Drosophila melanogaster: one gene and its partners. The protein of the gene in region 1 interacts with the protein of each later gene in a pairwise test. Each region holds a gene or a part of one and is shown in the gene's direction. Other genes may lie near its edges.

Region 1 (4,796 bases):
AACTCCGCCGCCGAGGCCTTCATTCAAAGTCTCGCAGGAATGGTGAATCAGGGCGATGTGGAGACCATGATACGGGCTCAAAAGCAAATGTAAGCCATTTCATTTAACCAGAGATTATAATAAACATCCAAAATATATCCCACAGGCTGCAACGCTTTGAGAAAACCAACGAGATGCTGCTCAACTGCAATGCCTTATCGCAGAGTCGTTTGAAAAGTGCCAGCGAGGATTTCAAAAGACACGTGAAATGCCTGAGCGAAATGAAGAAGGATCTGGATTACATATTCCGCAAGATACGGATCATCAAGCAGAAGCTACAGTCGCAGTTTCCCGCCATTTACGCCGAAGTTCAGCCGCAGCGTAGCAGTTTGGCTGAGGAAGCCGAGGATGATACGGAAGCCCAGGCTAAAAAGACTGCAGAAACACCTGCTCCTGCTGCCGCAAAACCTGTCCTATCCACCAAGAAAAGTGCCGCCACCATAGAGTACGTGCAGATGGAGGAGGCAGTGGACAATGGCACTGTGGAGATCGAAAACGAGCTGATCAAGCGAGTTTGTTCCGTGGAAACTGCCAATCCCAATGATTCCTCCGACTGCACATCCGAGGATACAGGTTAAGCCTAATTAGCTTTAGTCCCTCGATATATTTATCTTCATATAATAACTTATTGGTTTAATATTTGTATAACCTGCTACTACATACAAGGACACAATTCGTTTAGTTAGATTTAAATGAAATATGCGTAATAATTTAAGAAACTAATGGCTTAAAATATAATCTGGTACTTGTACTGCTTGGGCACCTTTGAGATTATGACGCGACCATCGTAGCTGAGCGAAGCAAAGATCCACGGATCCACATTGCTCCACTCCGCGCAGTAAACGGAGTCCTCGTGCTGATCGAAGGTCTGCAGCAGACCATCTGGCAAGAGTTTGTGCCTCTCCTCGGCATCGGCACCACTGAAGTTGGACTCATCTAGTCCAGCCTGAACCTGCGTCTCCGAACTAACCGATCCCGCACACGTGAGCAGCACCTTGCAGTCACTGGAGCTGGAGAGGATCAGTTGGTCGTGGAATGTGTTGAAGCGAACGCACCAGACCCAATGCGAATGATCGGAGCGCTCGAAAACGGGAGCCTTGGGCATGCGACAGTCCCAGATCCTCAAGTAGCCATCGTCACCGCCGGTGACCAAATGGCACTGCTTGTTGGGATTGCAGTCCAGGTCACGGACCATTTGACCATGCGCATCGTTGATGCTCCAGGCACAATGCTGTGTATCCCGCACATCGTAGGCACTTAGATTGCCATCCTGGAGGGTGAGAAACTGGTGGCCCTGATGATGATGCGACCACTTGCCGCTGGTGAAATGCTGTGTGTGCTTTGCAGATCCACTGGATGAACCACTGGCCGGCACCTCGGCCACCACGCGAGTAGAGGACTCGGCCCGCTGCATCACAGCCACCTTGTTGTCCACCACACAGGCGAGTGTGTCCTGGTTGGGATGGAATTCGATGGTCTTCACACGTTCGCCCAGTGCTTCGGTATCCAGGACCTCAACCTGCTCCCACGGCAGGTACTCTGACTTCAGCTGCTCCGGATCGGGATTGAGATTCTCGGGCAGCGTAAACAGAGCCGCTTTGGTCAGCACTTGTGCTCCCTTTTGTACATTGTAGACGGAGGCCAGCAGGCGAGGATTACGCGGACAACTATTTAGTTTCCAAACTTCACCCAGGGCGTGCTCAAAGACCTGTTCAAAGTTGTATGTTTAGCTCATACTTTGATCATCCCAGATATTCACCTTTGATTGCACGGATCCCTGCTCCTCCTCGTACTGGATTAAGTGAACCTGATTGGTGGGCTTCAAGGAGTTGGTGGCTATGAAGAAGCACACATCGTTGCTCTCTCCGTACTGAGGTGTTAAAGCCCGCGCCTGCAGTTCGAGTCCGTAGATTAAGCTATTTTCATCCATTTTCCACGATTTACTCAATGTTTTGATTTCGCTGGATATCTAGGTACGCAACTTACGTACACTAAACGGCGTACCTAAAAGTGTTGGTAAGCATTTATCACAAGGTGGCAGCCCTCGATCATATTACAAAACAATATATAATTTATTTTAATAAAATTAAAATATTTACATATATAAAGAGGCTTAAATATATGTGATTTAATATATTAAGCTCAAAATATAAAATAAATAATATTGGTATTCAAAATCCATTGATATAATTTGGTTACACTTAACGTTATGCCTTTTAAACGTGTAATAATTATACATACTTGGAATAGTAAGCTAATTATAGTATTAAGCTTAATACGTTTATAATCTTTACTTACCTTTGAAACATTTTCCGTTATCTCTCGGCCAGTGTGACCGTTCGACCACGCCAAGAGAGCGTATCGACTCCCCCCAAAAATAAATGAAATACAACCCTGTGCCCAAACACAGTTTCTTCTCGTTCTCCTTCCATTTTGTTTTCACACAAAAGTGAAAAAAAAAATATCTGAAAAAGCAACAGACGCGTATTCCGACCGATCAAACTAAATTTCCACTATACAGTACATATAATCACAATTGAGAATCGAAAACCCGACCGCCACGAAGCGCGCTAAATTACACGCACATACTGAAAGCCAAACAGCGGATAGCACTAGCATCCTACATATATAGACGTAGATATATAGTCATGGCGCAGAATATCAGCCCCGAGCAAAGTGGTGGAGCAGGCGGCGGCGGCAGCAAGCACAGCGATGACTCCATGCCCGTGAAAGACAATCACGCCGTGAGCAAAAGGTGAGTAGCACATGGTGCAGCCTAGATAATCCGCCAATATACACACACACTCACACTCACCCACAGACTGCACAAGGAACTGATGAACCTGATGATGGCCAACGAGAGGGGCATCTCAGCGTTTCCGGACGGCGAGAACATCTTCAAGTGGGTGGGCACCATAGCGGGTCCACGGAACACGGTGTATTCGGGGCAAACGTATCGTTTGTCACTGGATTTTCCCAATTCCTATCCGTATGCAGCACCCGTGGTGAAGTTCCTGACGTCCTGCTTCCATCCCAATGTTGATCTGCAGGGCGCCATCTGTTTGGACATACTGAAGGACAAATGGTCGGCCCTGTACGATGTGCGCACCATTCTGCTGTCCATACAATCCCTGCTGGGCGAACCGAACAACGAGAGTCCACTGAATGCGCAGGCCGCGATGATGTGGAATGACCAAAAGGAGTACAAAAAATATCTAGACGCCTTCTACGAGAAGCACAAGGACACCTAGAGTTTGGCAATTCGTTGTCATATATCCTATGCTCATATTGCGGCGTATTTATTTACATATAGTGCAAGCAACTCCACTCATCCGAAGACCTACTGCCAACCAACAAACCAATCATCAATCACCACCGTAACACAGTACCATCAGTTAAGTGGATCACCAGATCAATTTCAACAACGTTCAATGCTGATAGTTCATTTGGCAAAAGACCCCGTGCGTTTCTTATGTAATTGTCGATCGATTGACGGATAATCTGGTTTTTATTCTCATTTCTTTCCTCCTCCCTACAAATTAATGATAAATGAATGTATTGGTAATGTAATTTTAAAACTGTCATCCGTTCTTTAAGCTTAAGGATAAATTTTAGTTAATTGTTTTATATACGCATGATTACTTTTTTGAGAACTACTGCGAGTGCGCGCCATCGCCATCGCCATTTTTTTGTACTGATGATTTTTAAGCGACTATGCTGCTGCGCCGGCCATTATGTGAATGTTAGCTAATTTTAGGGCAGCCTCATCGATTCGTCAACCATTCGCGTCGTCTTAGTATCTCCAATTATGCGGCATTCTCCCACAATACTGGCATAACAAAATTCCAAGTAATTCGAATCATTGTAACAGTTGTGTTAGCTTGATGTTATTGAAACCACAAATAAAACGAATTATTGAACTACATCCATCGCTTTGTGTTTCCTCCCGTGAGCGTTGAGCTCCACGCTGTTCTGGAAAATGCGTCCGCATTTTCTGCATCTGAGCAGCAGATTCTTATTGCCGTGCTTGCGCAGCAGATGATCCACCATGTTCTCCTTGGTGTAGAATCTGCGATCGCAGCATTCGCAGCAGTATCTCCGACCCTCAACGCTACCATGGACCATCTTGTGGCGCGTTAGATGTGCCTTTCGCGCAAAGCACTTGCCACACTCCTCACAAATGTGCCGCGCATCCGGGGACTCTGACTCGTGATACCTTTCGTGCGTCCTTCTCATGTGATATTTGAGACTTCGGTTCGCTGTGTACACCTTGTTGCAGCTCGGACAGGCATAGATGATCCGCGCAGCGTCGGCATTGTTATGCATCTGCCGCAGGTGCGACTCCAGCAGATTGGCCCGGGCATAGCTCTTGGCACAATGGACGCAGGTATACGGTCTCAGACCCTCATGCTGCTGCATATGGGCCTCCAGCAGCGACGGTTTGTAGAAGCCACGGTGGCAAATTCGGCACTCGAGGGTGTGTCGCACTCCTCGTCGTTTTCTGGCACCCAGCAACTTGCTAGAAATGGATAGCTTCTCCTGGCCCAGATCCTGTTTGGCTGACTCGTCCTCTATTACGTAGACTTCCTCCTGGAAAATTTAGGGTATTATATATTTAATTACCATAGCAAACTGAATGGTGGTGGTTTTTTTTTTTTTTTGTGGGAATTCTGTACATATCTATTATGAAGGAATTTTTTATGTAAAAAGGGTCTAAGCATATAAAAACAAACTGCTTTTGGTTGAGTTAAGTAATT
Region 2 (5,288 bases), on another chromosome or scaffold:
TGGCAGTAAAGTACCTCCACTCTCGATTCCAGACATACCGGATAGGGCGCTAGCGAGCCCCAAACGTAAGCACAATGTCACAAGTAATACCAAACACGCCCACACCCCAAATGCTGACGACATCAACGCCCATAGAACCCATGAAACCACCACCAGCGTTTCCCACGATGAGCGGCGCAAACATACACGAGCAGGCGTCCGATATGATACTGCGGGCCTCGACGATTTTCGAGGACGTCAAGCACGACGAGGCGAATGTGGAGAATGTGCCCCATCACGGAGTTGAGACTGAGCCTGAGGACGACTCGCACTACGGCGGGAACGGCAACTCTAAGATCCGCATAATGCCCAGTGTGAAGCTAATGGCCACGACGCTCGCCTCCGATCCCAAGCGCAAGTTCGTCTGCCCGTATGACAACTGTACAAAGAGCTACGGCAAGAGCTCCCACCTGCGGTCCCACCTCACCTGGCACACGGGCATCAAGCCCTTCGTCTGCAGCGAGCCCAAGTGCGGCAAGGGATTCACGCGCTCCGATGAGCTCAACCGGCACCTCCGGACGCACACCGGCGAGAAGCCCTTCGAGTGCATCCAGTGCACCAAGAAGTTTTCCCGCAGCGACCACCTCACCAAGCACCTAGCTACCCACGACCGCCAGCTAAAGGGCAGCACCCCGAAGCGAACAGTACCGAGCAGCAGTGGTGGAGTCCGGCTCAAGCCCCCGAAGAAGCAGATTCATTCGGAGTCGGACTCGGGCTTCCACTTCATGGCCGCCATGGTTGGTTGCGGGGAGCCGAGCATGAAGCACCACCACCAGCAGCAGCAGCATAACCAGCACCAGCAGCCCGTGAGCATTATCGACATCCACCACAAGCCGATAAAGATTAAGCTGGAACGGCCGGAGCACAGCGACAAGTACCAGATCGTATCTCCTGAACACCAGATGGATAACCATGGCCACAACCAGAGCCAGTTGCCCGATTTCCTTAACCAGGCGAAGCCCGAGGTAAAATACGAACCGACCGAAGAAATTGTAAATACCCTCTCTCAGCTACCGCCGGCGGACGGACCCGGCACGTATGGGATGCCCCAGTTCGTTCAGGATCGGCCTTTCTACTGCCGGCAGTGTGAGAAGCGGTTCAAGCGGCAGGACGACCTCAACCGACACATACGAACGCACACCGGGGAGAAGCCCTACGCCTGTCAGCAGTGCTGTCGCCGGTTTGTGCGGAGCGACCACTTGAAAAAGCATCAGCAGACGCATTTGAAGATACGATAGTTTCATAGTTACTCCTTACTCCTTAAGTCGCTAGCCATTGGCATCCGCATCCAATCGATATTGGCTACCACACGGGCGTGTGTCGGGTGACGCACACAGTACAATAAAATTAAATAAATTCGCAATCTAACTATATTCCTATGCAAGATCAGCGCCGGCTCTCAAATCTCAATTTGTATGTATGTATGTAAATAAGTCGTATGCAATTTAATTTTAGCTCTAACTGTTTGTGTTTGCCGGAACGTGAAGACATACATCTGTATTTCTGAAACTCTTGCTGTTTCTTATTTTCTGGCTACTAAGCTCCCCGTATCTATTAATATAATTTATTTTAGTAAAACTGTTATTTATATTTATGGGCTAATTGATGGGGAACTGATAGTTCATCAGGATCAGGACTCGATCCAGTTTGAAATTTGGAATATGATTAATAATGGCCTATAAGAATGAATAATAGATATATGTATAATTTCTGATAAATCAAAGATTCATCGACTATCGGTTCGGTTGATAGAATCGACTTATCGATAACAGCATTATCATCACCATTGGCGTTTGATTCAGAGTTTCAAGCAATGTTTTGCACTGTTTAAAATAATTACACACAAGCGATGTGCGACTTTGACGCTTTGTGGGCGGATGTACTGAGAATCTTTCCGGTTTTGGGTGGAGCGGTAGGTTTATTCCTTCGGTTCAGTAATAGGGATTGGCGCTAGCACTCAGAAACTCTTACAGAACGCTGTATCCAATGATCCGGTTGAGGAGAATGTATTCCAAAATGTTCGCCAGCACCTGATGGTGTTGGGCAGCATAGACACCTTCGCGGCGGTTGTGGACCTGGAAATCCAGTCGACTATTCGGAATGTCCTGGTGCCCAAGTTCTGGAAGCACATCCACGACGGCTTGGTCTCGTCTAAATTGCAGGGCTGGATTAACGACCAAGCTCTGGCCATAGAAGCACTGCCCGATAAGAACGGACTGTTCACCCAGTTCATCGACGCCATCAATGAGCTGCATGACAGCTTTCAGAGCCTGATGCAGGTGAAGCCCAGGCTGATCCAGCTAGTTGGAGCTGAGACAAAGCCCACCGCAAAGACGGTGAAGCTCATGCAGGAGGAAGGCATTAAGAACTGCTTAAGGGACTGCTTGCTGGCTCAACTGCCACCCAATTTCAGTGTGGTCGTTGGGGCCTTCTACTGGGTGCACTTTAAGCTCTTCACCAAGGCCTCAAATCTCGCATTGACCACAGTTGGTATGTATCCGATACATACTCCTGTGGTTCCCATGCTCACTTGCTTTCCCCTTCAGACTCTGATGTTTTCGATGAGCTCCTCTGCGTTGGCTGCAACTTCGAAGCAGAGCAATGCTGCTGCCAAAGGCTGACGGATATGGTTAACAAGACAAACATGAAGCTCTTCGAGATGAACCTCATTGACCGTCTAACTGGGAGTGCTTTAACCGCTCTCATCAAGCTTAAAATCAAGGAGCACATCAGCGATACATGCATGGGAATCTTCGACAGAAGTCATCTTAAGCAACTGGAAACTGTAAGTTGAATGGGAATACCTTCTGTTGTCATAAATAAACTACTTAAGTAACTCATTTATTACCTACCTTTGCAGTGGCTATCGGATGTCATAATGTCCTGGCTCACAAACATATTCACGGAATGGAAGTCTAAGGATAGCATAAGCGATATCGAAGTTCCCGAGTCTGTAAAATCCTTCAAAGTCAAACTGACTTACTTTATGTACGAAACGTTTGCCCAAAGCGTTATTGGTCAGTTCTTCAGCATTATAATTGGTATGTGCCCGTAGATTCAGCCAAGAGTCCCCCAACTACATGTATTTATTTGTAAACAGACTATCCCGATTCCATTCCGGCTATAGATGACTTAAAGATTTGCATGGAGAAAATAGATATGCGAGTCTACCTCACTGAATCCCTTAGGAACTCGCTAGAGGCAAGGATTCTGCATCCTGGAGTCAACACCATGGACATATTAACGGGTTACGTGGCAGCCATCAAAGCTATTCGCCATCTGGATAGTACCGGAGTCATCTTAGAGATGGTAACTGCTCCAATCAAAGATTACCTGCGGAAACGAAACGACACAGTGCGACGCGTAGTCACTGGGTTGACTGAAGAGGGGCCCACGGACTTATCCGAGGAACTCGCCAAGGGAGAAACAATTAAGGAATGCAAGGACTCGGGTACCGATGAGTTCAGCAACTGGGAAAATTGGCAACCCGATCCGTTTGGTATAGATGCCAGCATTATGCAGTACAACAGCTCGCGGAAGATGAGATCGGCCGACATTATATCGATGGTTGTAGACATATACGGCAGTAAGGAGTTGTTTATGACAGAGTATCGCAATCTAATGGCGGACAGACTGCTGGCCCAGTTAGATTTTAATTCCGAAAAAGAAATTCGAAATCTGGAACTGCTGAAAATCCGCTTTGGCGAATCGCTGCTGCACAGCTGCGAGGTGATGTTGAAAGACGTAACCGACTCCAAGCGAATTAACGCGCACATCCACAGCGATGGCGACCGAACTGAAAGTGAGTTACTTTTAATTTTCAAAATGCTTTAACGAAACCATCTCATTTTAGATCAGTTGTTCGACATCTCCTCGCTGATTGTTTCTGCTCAGTTTTGGCCGTCCTTCAATAAAGAAAGCCTCCAACTTCCTGAGGAGATTGAGAATGAGTTCAAGAAGTACACCAAGGCCTACGAGGCATACAAGGGCAACCGTACGCTCAACTGGCGTACAGTGACTGGCCGTGTAAATATTGAAATCGAGATCGGTGACCGGACCATGGAAATGGTTGTGAGCCCCATTTTGGCGGTTATTATATACCACTTTCAAACTAAGAGTACGTGTTTACAGGGCAGTCAAGTTTTACAGTTTTACAACCGCATGGTCATATTTTTTTTTCAGATGAATGGACTATCGAGGATCTTAGTTCCATTACGAAAGTTCCAGCGTCTGCACTGCGGCGTCGTCTGAGTTTTTGGCAAAACCACGGATTGATCTCGGAAACGACACCCGGAATATTCACGCTGCTGGAAAAGGAATCGGAGAAGTCTCAGTACGAGGACATGAGTCTGGCAGAAGCTGACGAAGAGGATTTGGAATCCGCAATGGCTTCTGCCAGCGATCAAAGGGAAGAAGAACTCCAAGTAAGTGCCTTCAACTGTTCCTAATTCCGGCTTTTTCTTATACAATTATGCCGCAGGTTTTTTGGTCCTATATTGTTGGAATGCTCACGAATCTTGACTCCATGCCAATTGACCGAATCCACCAGATGCTGAAGCTGTTCGCCTCCCACAGCGGCGGAGTGGAGTTTACTCAGGATGAGCTGAAACACTTTCTCCAGCGAAAAGTCAGGGAGCACAAGCTAATATTCTCGGGTGGAGTTTACCAATTGGCCAAATAAGTTTCGGAGATCCAAAACCAAGTTGCAAACGACTGAAGGAATCATGAAATAAATAATGAATTAACGCGATAACATTTATGAAATTTACTGCTCCATGTTAAACGTACCTATTTTTTCAAACTGCCGTCTTATCTGTTTCTATTCAGAGCTTATCTCTCACCCACGTACACACAAAGTCTTTACCCAAACTTGTTTGGCTTGGGAATTTGGAACACAATGCAAGCAATCTTATGTGAAAAGAAGAACACACAGTAAAATACGTCTATTGCTTAATTTATTTCAAGTTATATTAAGGTATATGCTAATCCCGTTATCAACAAATTCAAACTTCTTAGGGCTCTAAAACTAAAGGCGAAGAAAAGTGTACGTGGTTTTGATATACTTTACAGGTTAAACAGTTTTTGGCTTCATAAAATCAATCACGAACGCAGTGGCTAAATCGATCACTTTATACACGCAAACAACTTGGAATTTAATGCTGTAATCGTTCTAAACTGTAATCTGTACATCAAAAGTTACTTCAGGTATGCGGACCAGCTAGTCCTCGTGCAAGAATCGAGCTTGGTAG
Region 3 (5,589 bases), on another chromosome or scaffold:
TGGACTCGTATCTAAGGCGCTAAAGAGTTTAAAAAATCCGTCATTTCATAATTGTTTGTTTATTAGCCACATTTTATGGACGAGGCACATGACAAGGCAAGCCAATTCAAAGTGAAATAAATCGCAAATATCGATTTGAAATTTCGCATTGCAATTGCAATGAAAACTGATGTTCACAAACAAACACATCATGTTTTTTATGGATGCCTTATTGGTACACTGTATGTAAGTGATTCGCAGAATTCGAGAAAATCCCGGGCGTGACCAAAAACCGGAACACCAAGTCAAGTAGCAGAATCTCCCTGCAAGGCGCAAACGGTTTTTTCCAGAAACAGGCGGCACAAAGAGTTCAATAAACTGCAACATAAATTCTTATGCTAAATAATTGCTATCATCGAGTGGTTTTTTTTTTTGTATAGGTGGGTTGTGAGGGGTGTTTACTTGTTCTTGGAAAATCACGAGGCTCTGGCTCAGGGTCAACAACGTGTTGTATGGCGCATTATTGGGCTTATTTTTAATATTATTCTTGCCTGTATGGGTGTGTGTATTCAAGTGCGTTTTCAATTACAGGTTCTTAAACAACGCTCTGCTGTTGAACTTCACTTTTTGTGTTTTGATTTAATTTCACTCTCACAAGATCGTTCACTTCGCAGCGGCACCTTTCGATTAGTACACAACTCTAAATCAACTCCGTTTCGCAGGCACTTTCTTTTCACTCACAAGGGTTTTTTTTATTATATGCTGATCTCGTTCGCAGTTCCACAGAACCTTTGCTAAAAACTGCGTCACACTTGGACAAAACACAAAAGCAATTTTTGAGCAATAATGATCACGCTTTGCACGCGAAATTGTCGAAAAAACACAGTGGGAAAAACGGGTAAAGCTCGACGATCGATCGATCGAGCTGCGCGCACGTCTGTCGGGTTCAACAATCGTCGGCTAACTGAATGCGAATAAACCGGAGACAACAACTCCATCAGCCCCCGACAACAAAACAACACAAGGCAGCACCCCCCTAAAGCCTCGTCCAATCCGATGGAGCATGAGCATAAGCTTTCGGAAGTTGTTTCAGACACGATTCGCTCGCATTGCTGATTAAAGATCTGACCTGGGTTCCGACCTGTCATTGCCGAAAATTGTAATTGATGGCCCAGCGGCTTCGAGAACGTGGCCTTGATATTGAAAATACTACTGTTCAACTATTACTTATCCGACAAGGAATGACTTATTTTAACTATAGCAGAAAGGTTTTTAATTCACCTGATTGTTTCAAATAGTACTTTATCTATGATTTCTTATAAACAAACCAAAGTTGAATACTCCCGCCAAGGATCGATATCTTTTTAAAGTACGGTAGATGTATATATAAAATCGATAGCTCTATGAACTGCTTACAAATGCCCATGTCTATGATCAATAAATATCACTAAGAACACATCAAATGTACTTTGTTACAATATTCAATAATCAATACTATACTAATATACAATAAATAAAAATATATCGTTTACTATAACAGGTCATCCCAAGTCGCACTGCTTGTCCGACGGCTTAACTCCATCTACACAGCGTCCATCTCTAAGTCCAATCGGCCAATCGATAATCGGACCTATCGACCTATTTTCAGCAGCCTAACTAAAGAAAAAAGGCAATATTTTGCAAAAAACATTCGGAAACGGTCGAAAAACACCCGCTTCATTGGCCAAAGGAGCCGTATTCCGTGCAACGCAAAGCGGCGACAAACCAGACAATTGCCGTGTGAGACAAATGTGCGCAAAATGAAAGTGACAATCAAGTCATGGACGGGAGTTGCAACTTGGCGTTGGATAGCGAATGACGAGAACTGCGGTATCTGTCGCATGTCCTTCGAGAGCACCTGCCCGGAGTGCGCTCTGCCCGGTGACGACTGCCCGCTGGTGTGGGGTGTATGCTCTCATTGCTTCCACATGCACTGCATCGTCAAGTGGCTGAACCTGCAACCGTTGAACAAACAGTGCCCCATGTGCCGCCAGAGCTGGAAGTTCAACGTGCATTAAGAAGCCCGCGTTATAGTTCTAGTTACTAAATACCCGTGAGGATCAGGATCAGCAGTAAGAAGAAACCGTAGAGACATAGTAAGCTTTATCAAATGATGGAGAACAGCAGCAACGATGCCCAGCCGCACTTGACGGGTCTGCCGCCACTGCCAAAAAGTCTGAGCGCCGCTACGGCGGCTCCTGTGGCCATTGGCCCCCATCCCCGCACAGCCTCGCCGGCGTCCAGTGTTAACGCACTGACCGTAGCCGCCGGAGAACTATACCTGGGCCCCTCCACCTCCTCGTCGGCGGCATCACGAAATCGTAGCTACAATGGACACGGACACAGCCAGCGGCACGGTAGTCTTTCGTCCACGCAGGAGTCGCTCAGTGATCGGGAATCTGTGCACAGTCGCGCTTCCAGCACCCACAGCGCTGGGGCTGTTCACACACCCACTAACAGCTCGAGCAGCACTGGAGCCACCTCGTCGACCATCGACAACCAGTTGGCCATTCTGCGACGGGAGATGTACGGTCTGAGGCAGTTGGATCTGTCGCTGCTGTCCCAGCTGTGGGCGCTAAACGAGTCGATACAGGGATTCCGTGTGTTCCTGCAAGAGCAGGACGCACTGTCGCCGCCCTCGAGGTCCCGTACTCCATCGGATGCGAATTCCTTGAGCTCCGACGAAGAGGACGATGGCTCCTATGCGCCAGTAGCCTTGCCTAAGATGACAGATACTGCCGGAGCTGGGAGTGCGGGAGTTGTGAATTCCAGGGCCATGGCCTCGCCGGCAGCCAGCGGAGGACTGCCCACAAAACTGGCCACTGGCTCGACCACTTCCCACGCCTCAACTAGCTCCACATCAGGAGCCTCTGGCTCCTCATCCGCTGCCTCCTCGATGGGGAAGCACCAACAAGTGCAGCAGCAACAACAGCAACAGTCGCAATCGGCTAACCACTACCATCAGAGGCCAGCGCCACCACCCGCACCACCAGCTCAGCACAAGGCGCATCCACAGTTGCCGCGCATCCTGCAGCAGCGCATGAGACAGGCACCGCCACCGCCGCCACCCACAAGGCAAAAGGCGGGCGGCGGTGGTGGAGGCGGAGCGAGCACCAGCAGCAGTAACCACAGCATCAGCAGTGTCACCCAGCCGCATCCACATTCACACCAACATCCCCAACATACCCACCATTCGCGACCTGTATGACAAAACCCGTTCTTGGACTAAGCCAAGTTCAAGAACATAAGCAGATTTACATAGCAGCCGCTGCCAACACTTCGGAAAGGGTCAATTAGACGACATTTCTTCAAGAGTCAATTCAAATTCAAGTGCAGAAAGATCCCACACACACAACACTCACTCTATCAACTCAACTATCAACTCATAAAGCTTGCCATGGTCCCTCGTTCTTGATATTGAATCTCGAAACATATGAACGGTTTATAAATGTTTTTTGCAAAACGATGAAAATGTCTTTGAATGTAAGCGTACCACTTTTCACGTTTAATATTAAATAATAAACACAAAAAATTTGTATTCAATAATAATCGCTAAGTAGTAAAGGATAAGATCCTTATATGCATCTATGTATTACTCAAATTGTATAAACATAAATCTAAAATGCTTGAAATTCCGCATCGAATTCATAGATCTAGTTATATTATTTGCGTTGACTCTGAAATGTTTTGTTAGAATGCATACTATCCAACAACAAAAACTAAATCAAATTGTTCCAACTCATGTAGCACTAACCAAAACTAAACTCTTGGCCTATACATATGAATATCTGGATTGATTTTATAGCCCTGTTAAGACTTAGTTTCGTAATGGCGTATCGATTGGAAAATTATATATTACGAACATGTATCTGCATCTCAAAAGCAAAATCTAGCTGATCTTACTGTTAGTCCAATAATCCTATCATTAAAAATACAACAACAAAAAAAACTAGGCATATATATGTAAAGCTCAAGTATTGGAGCAAATCCCCCGAGCAGTTGTGCAGTGCGTTTCAGATCTATAAGTCAGTTGCATGTTCCGCGAAGCAGAAAACCATTTTAAACTAGTTTCGGTTGTATATTTTTCCAATTTGTTCAAAAATCTTACTCCGCAATCATGGATAACTGCCTTGTAAATGTGGAACGCATTGCATATAATATTTATATTCTAAATACATATACAATTTTTACCAAGTAACAGTTACATTGATGAAAATGCAGTAGATACCATCGGTATCTCCCATATCACAAGCATAAAGCGGGAGATTGCGAAATGAAAACAGATTTACATATATTACCTAATCAAAAATGATACAATTTCCAATATTTATTGTTAGTTCTTAGATTGTTTTATTTCTCAAAACAAATTCCTTATAATCTACTAAAATTAAATCACCCTATGAAGTTAAACGATTGGAATTAAAATCCACACGATCATATTTGACTGTTCTTTATTTCGTTATCATATACACACTCCTCCAACAGAGACTACAAATCAAAATGTGCGGAAATTTGATACCAACCAGATCACAAAAGCATCGATATACAAGCAGAAATCATAAATATACTGCAGCACAAGTCGCAAAATGTAATCACTGATCAAGCTTTGAATATCTCGGCTGGAATATGACCTATAAGGATTTAATGTAAGGTTAACCAGTTAACAAATACATTTTCTTGAAAGCAATAGCTTATCATTTTCGATGGTCAGAAAATTTTAGAAGTCATGACTTGATTTCCGTTTTAGCAAGACCTTTAGAACTGTTTGGTAACCTATAATTTTTTATAGTGTATTGTATTCTATACTTTTTGTGTTGTATACAACAACAGCTTCCATTAAAGATCATATTTTATTCGAGTTATTCAAAGTAGCATACGGTTAGAAGCATCAAATAAATTTGAGATGAACTTTTGAGCGCTTTTGCTGTGTACAAAAAGGCAAGCAAGATATCGAAAATTTACACTGACCGAAACATATACAACTTTGTGGTTGAGATAGAAACACAATTCACGAAAGGCTATAATTTATACAATTTTGTTTATGACGAAAGTTGGTGGGTGAGATATCGTTAAAAAGTGTATTATGTAATGGCAATTTATTAATAAAACGAAACGAAACGATACGAATGAATCGATACAATAAATATCAATTTAAATATCAATGCGCATATGCTGTGAATTAATTATCGTTCTTATCAAGTTTATTTTGTTTGTTCCTAATGACAGACTAAACCAATATATTTGTTTTCGGGTTCTAATAACCTCAAGTCAAGTTTGGGATGGCTCAGTCTAGGTGCTAAACGTTCCACAGCAATCAGATGGGATTTCTGCAAAGGGATACAGTAAATTATAGTTAGCAGTTACTGTTTAAATTCAATTACTCACTGTCTGTTGGTCCCCAGCCCAATGGCACACCCAAGCGGCTATTTTCCTGCTTAAGCCACTGGTAGAGCGGTTCAAAGTACTCCAGCAGAGCGGCTGGGTCCATTTCCGTTTCGCCTGTAAACTCCTCCAACACCTCCTTCCAATGGCGTGAGTTGCCCTTTGAGAGGAACTGGCTCAGTGATCGTC

What was found.
Region 2: the proteins of vih (region 1) and mr interact in a two-hybrid assay, tested with the Drosophila melanogaster proteins (one study listed by BioGRID).
Region 3: the proteins of vih (region 1) and lmgA interact in a two-hybrid assay, tested with the Drosophila melanogaster proteins (one study listed by BioGRID).

The regions. Positions count from the first base shown.
Region 1 is NT_037436.4:12,501,859-12,506,654, forward strand, and holds vih (vihar), read left to right. Parts: upstream 1-2,433; 5' UTR 2,434-2,687; coding exon 2,688-2,794; intron 2,795-2,860; coding exon 2,861-3,290; 3' UTR 3,291-3,951; downstream 3,952-4,796. Other genes in the region: CG10681 (uncharacterized protein), read left to right, coding at 1-89, 146-617; CG10646 (uncharacterized protein), read right to left, coding at 767-1,747, 1,799-1,969; CG10654 (uncharacterized protein), read right to left, coding at 3,952-4,629.
Region 2 is NT_033778.4:23,970,621-23,975,908, forward strand, and holds mr (morula), read left to right. Parts: upstream 1-1,810; 5' UTR 1,811-1,888; coding exon 1,889-1,951; intron 1,952-2,012; coding exon 2,013-2,529; intron 2,530-2,585; coding exon 2,586-2,824; intron 2,825-2,899; coding exon 2,900-3,080; intron 3,081-3,139; coding exon 3,140-3,841; intron 3,842-3,892; coding exon 3,893-4,156; intron 4,157-4,221; coding exon 4,222-4,463; intron 4,464-4,519; coding exon 4,520-4,720; 3' UTR 4,721-4,788; downstream 4,789-5,288. Other genes in the region: CG3065 (uncharacterized protein), read left to right, coding at 75-1,277; PPP1R15 (protein phosphatase 1 regulatory subunit 15), read right to left, coding at 5,258-5,288.
Region 3 is NT_033779.5:8,524,499-8,530,087, reverse strand, and holds lmgA (lemming A), read left to right. Parts: upstream 1-1,582; 5' UTR 1,583-1,778; coding exon 1,779-2,036; 3' UTR 2,037-2,128; coding exon of another isoform or gene 2,129-3,226; 3' UTR 3,227-5,089; downstream 5,090-5,589. Other genes in the region: lmgB (lemming B), read left to right, coding at 2,129-3,226; Acer (Angiotensin-converting enzyme-related), read right to left, coding at 5,308-5,345, 5,404-5,589.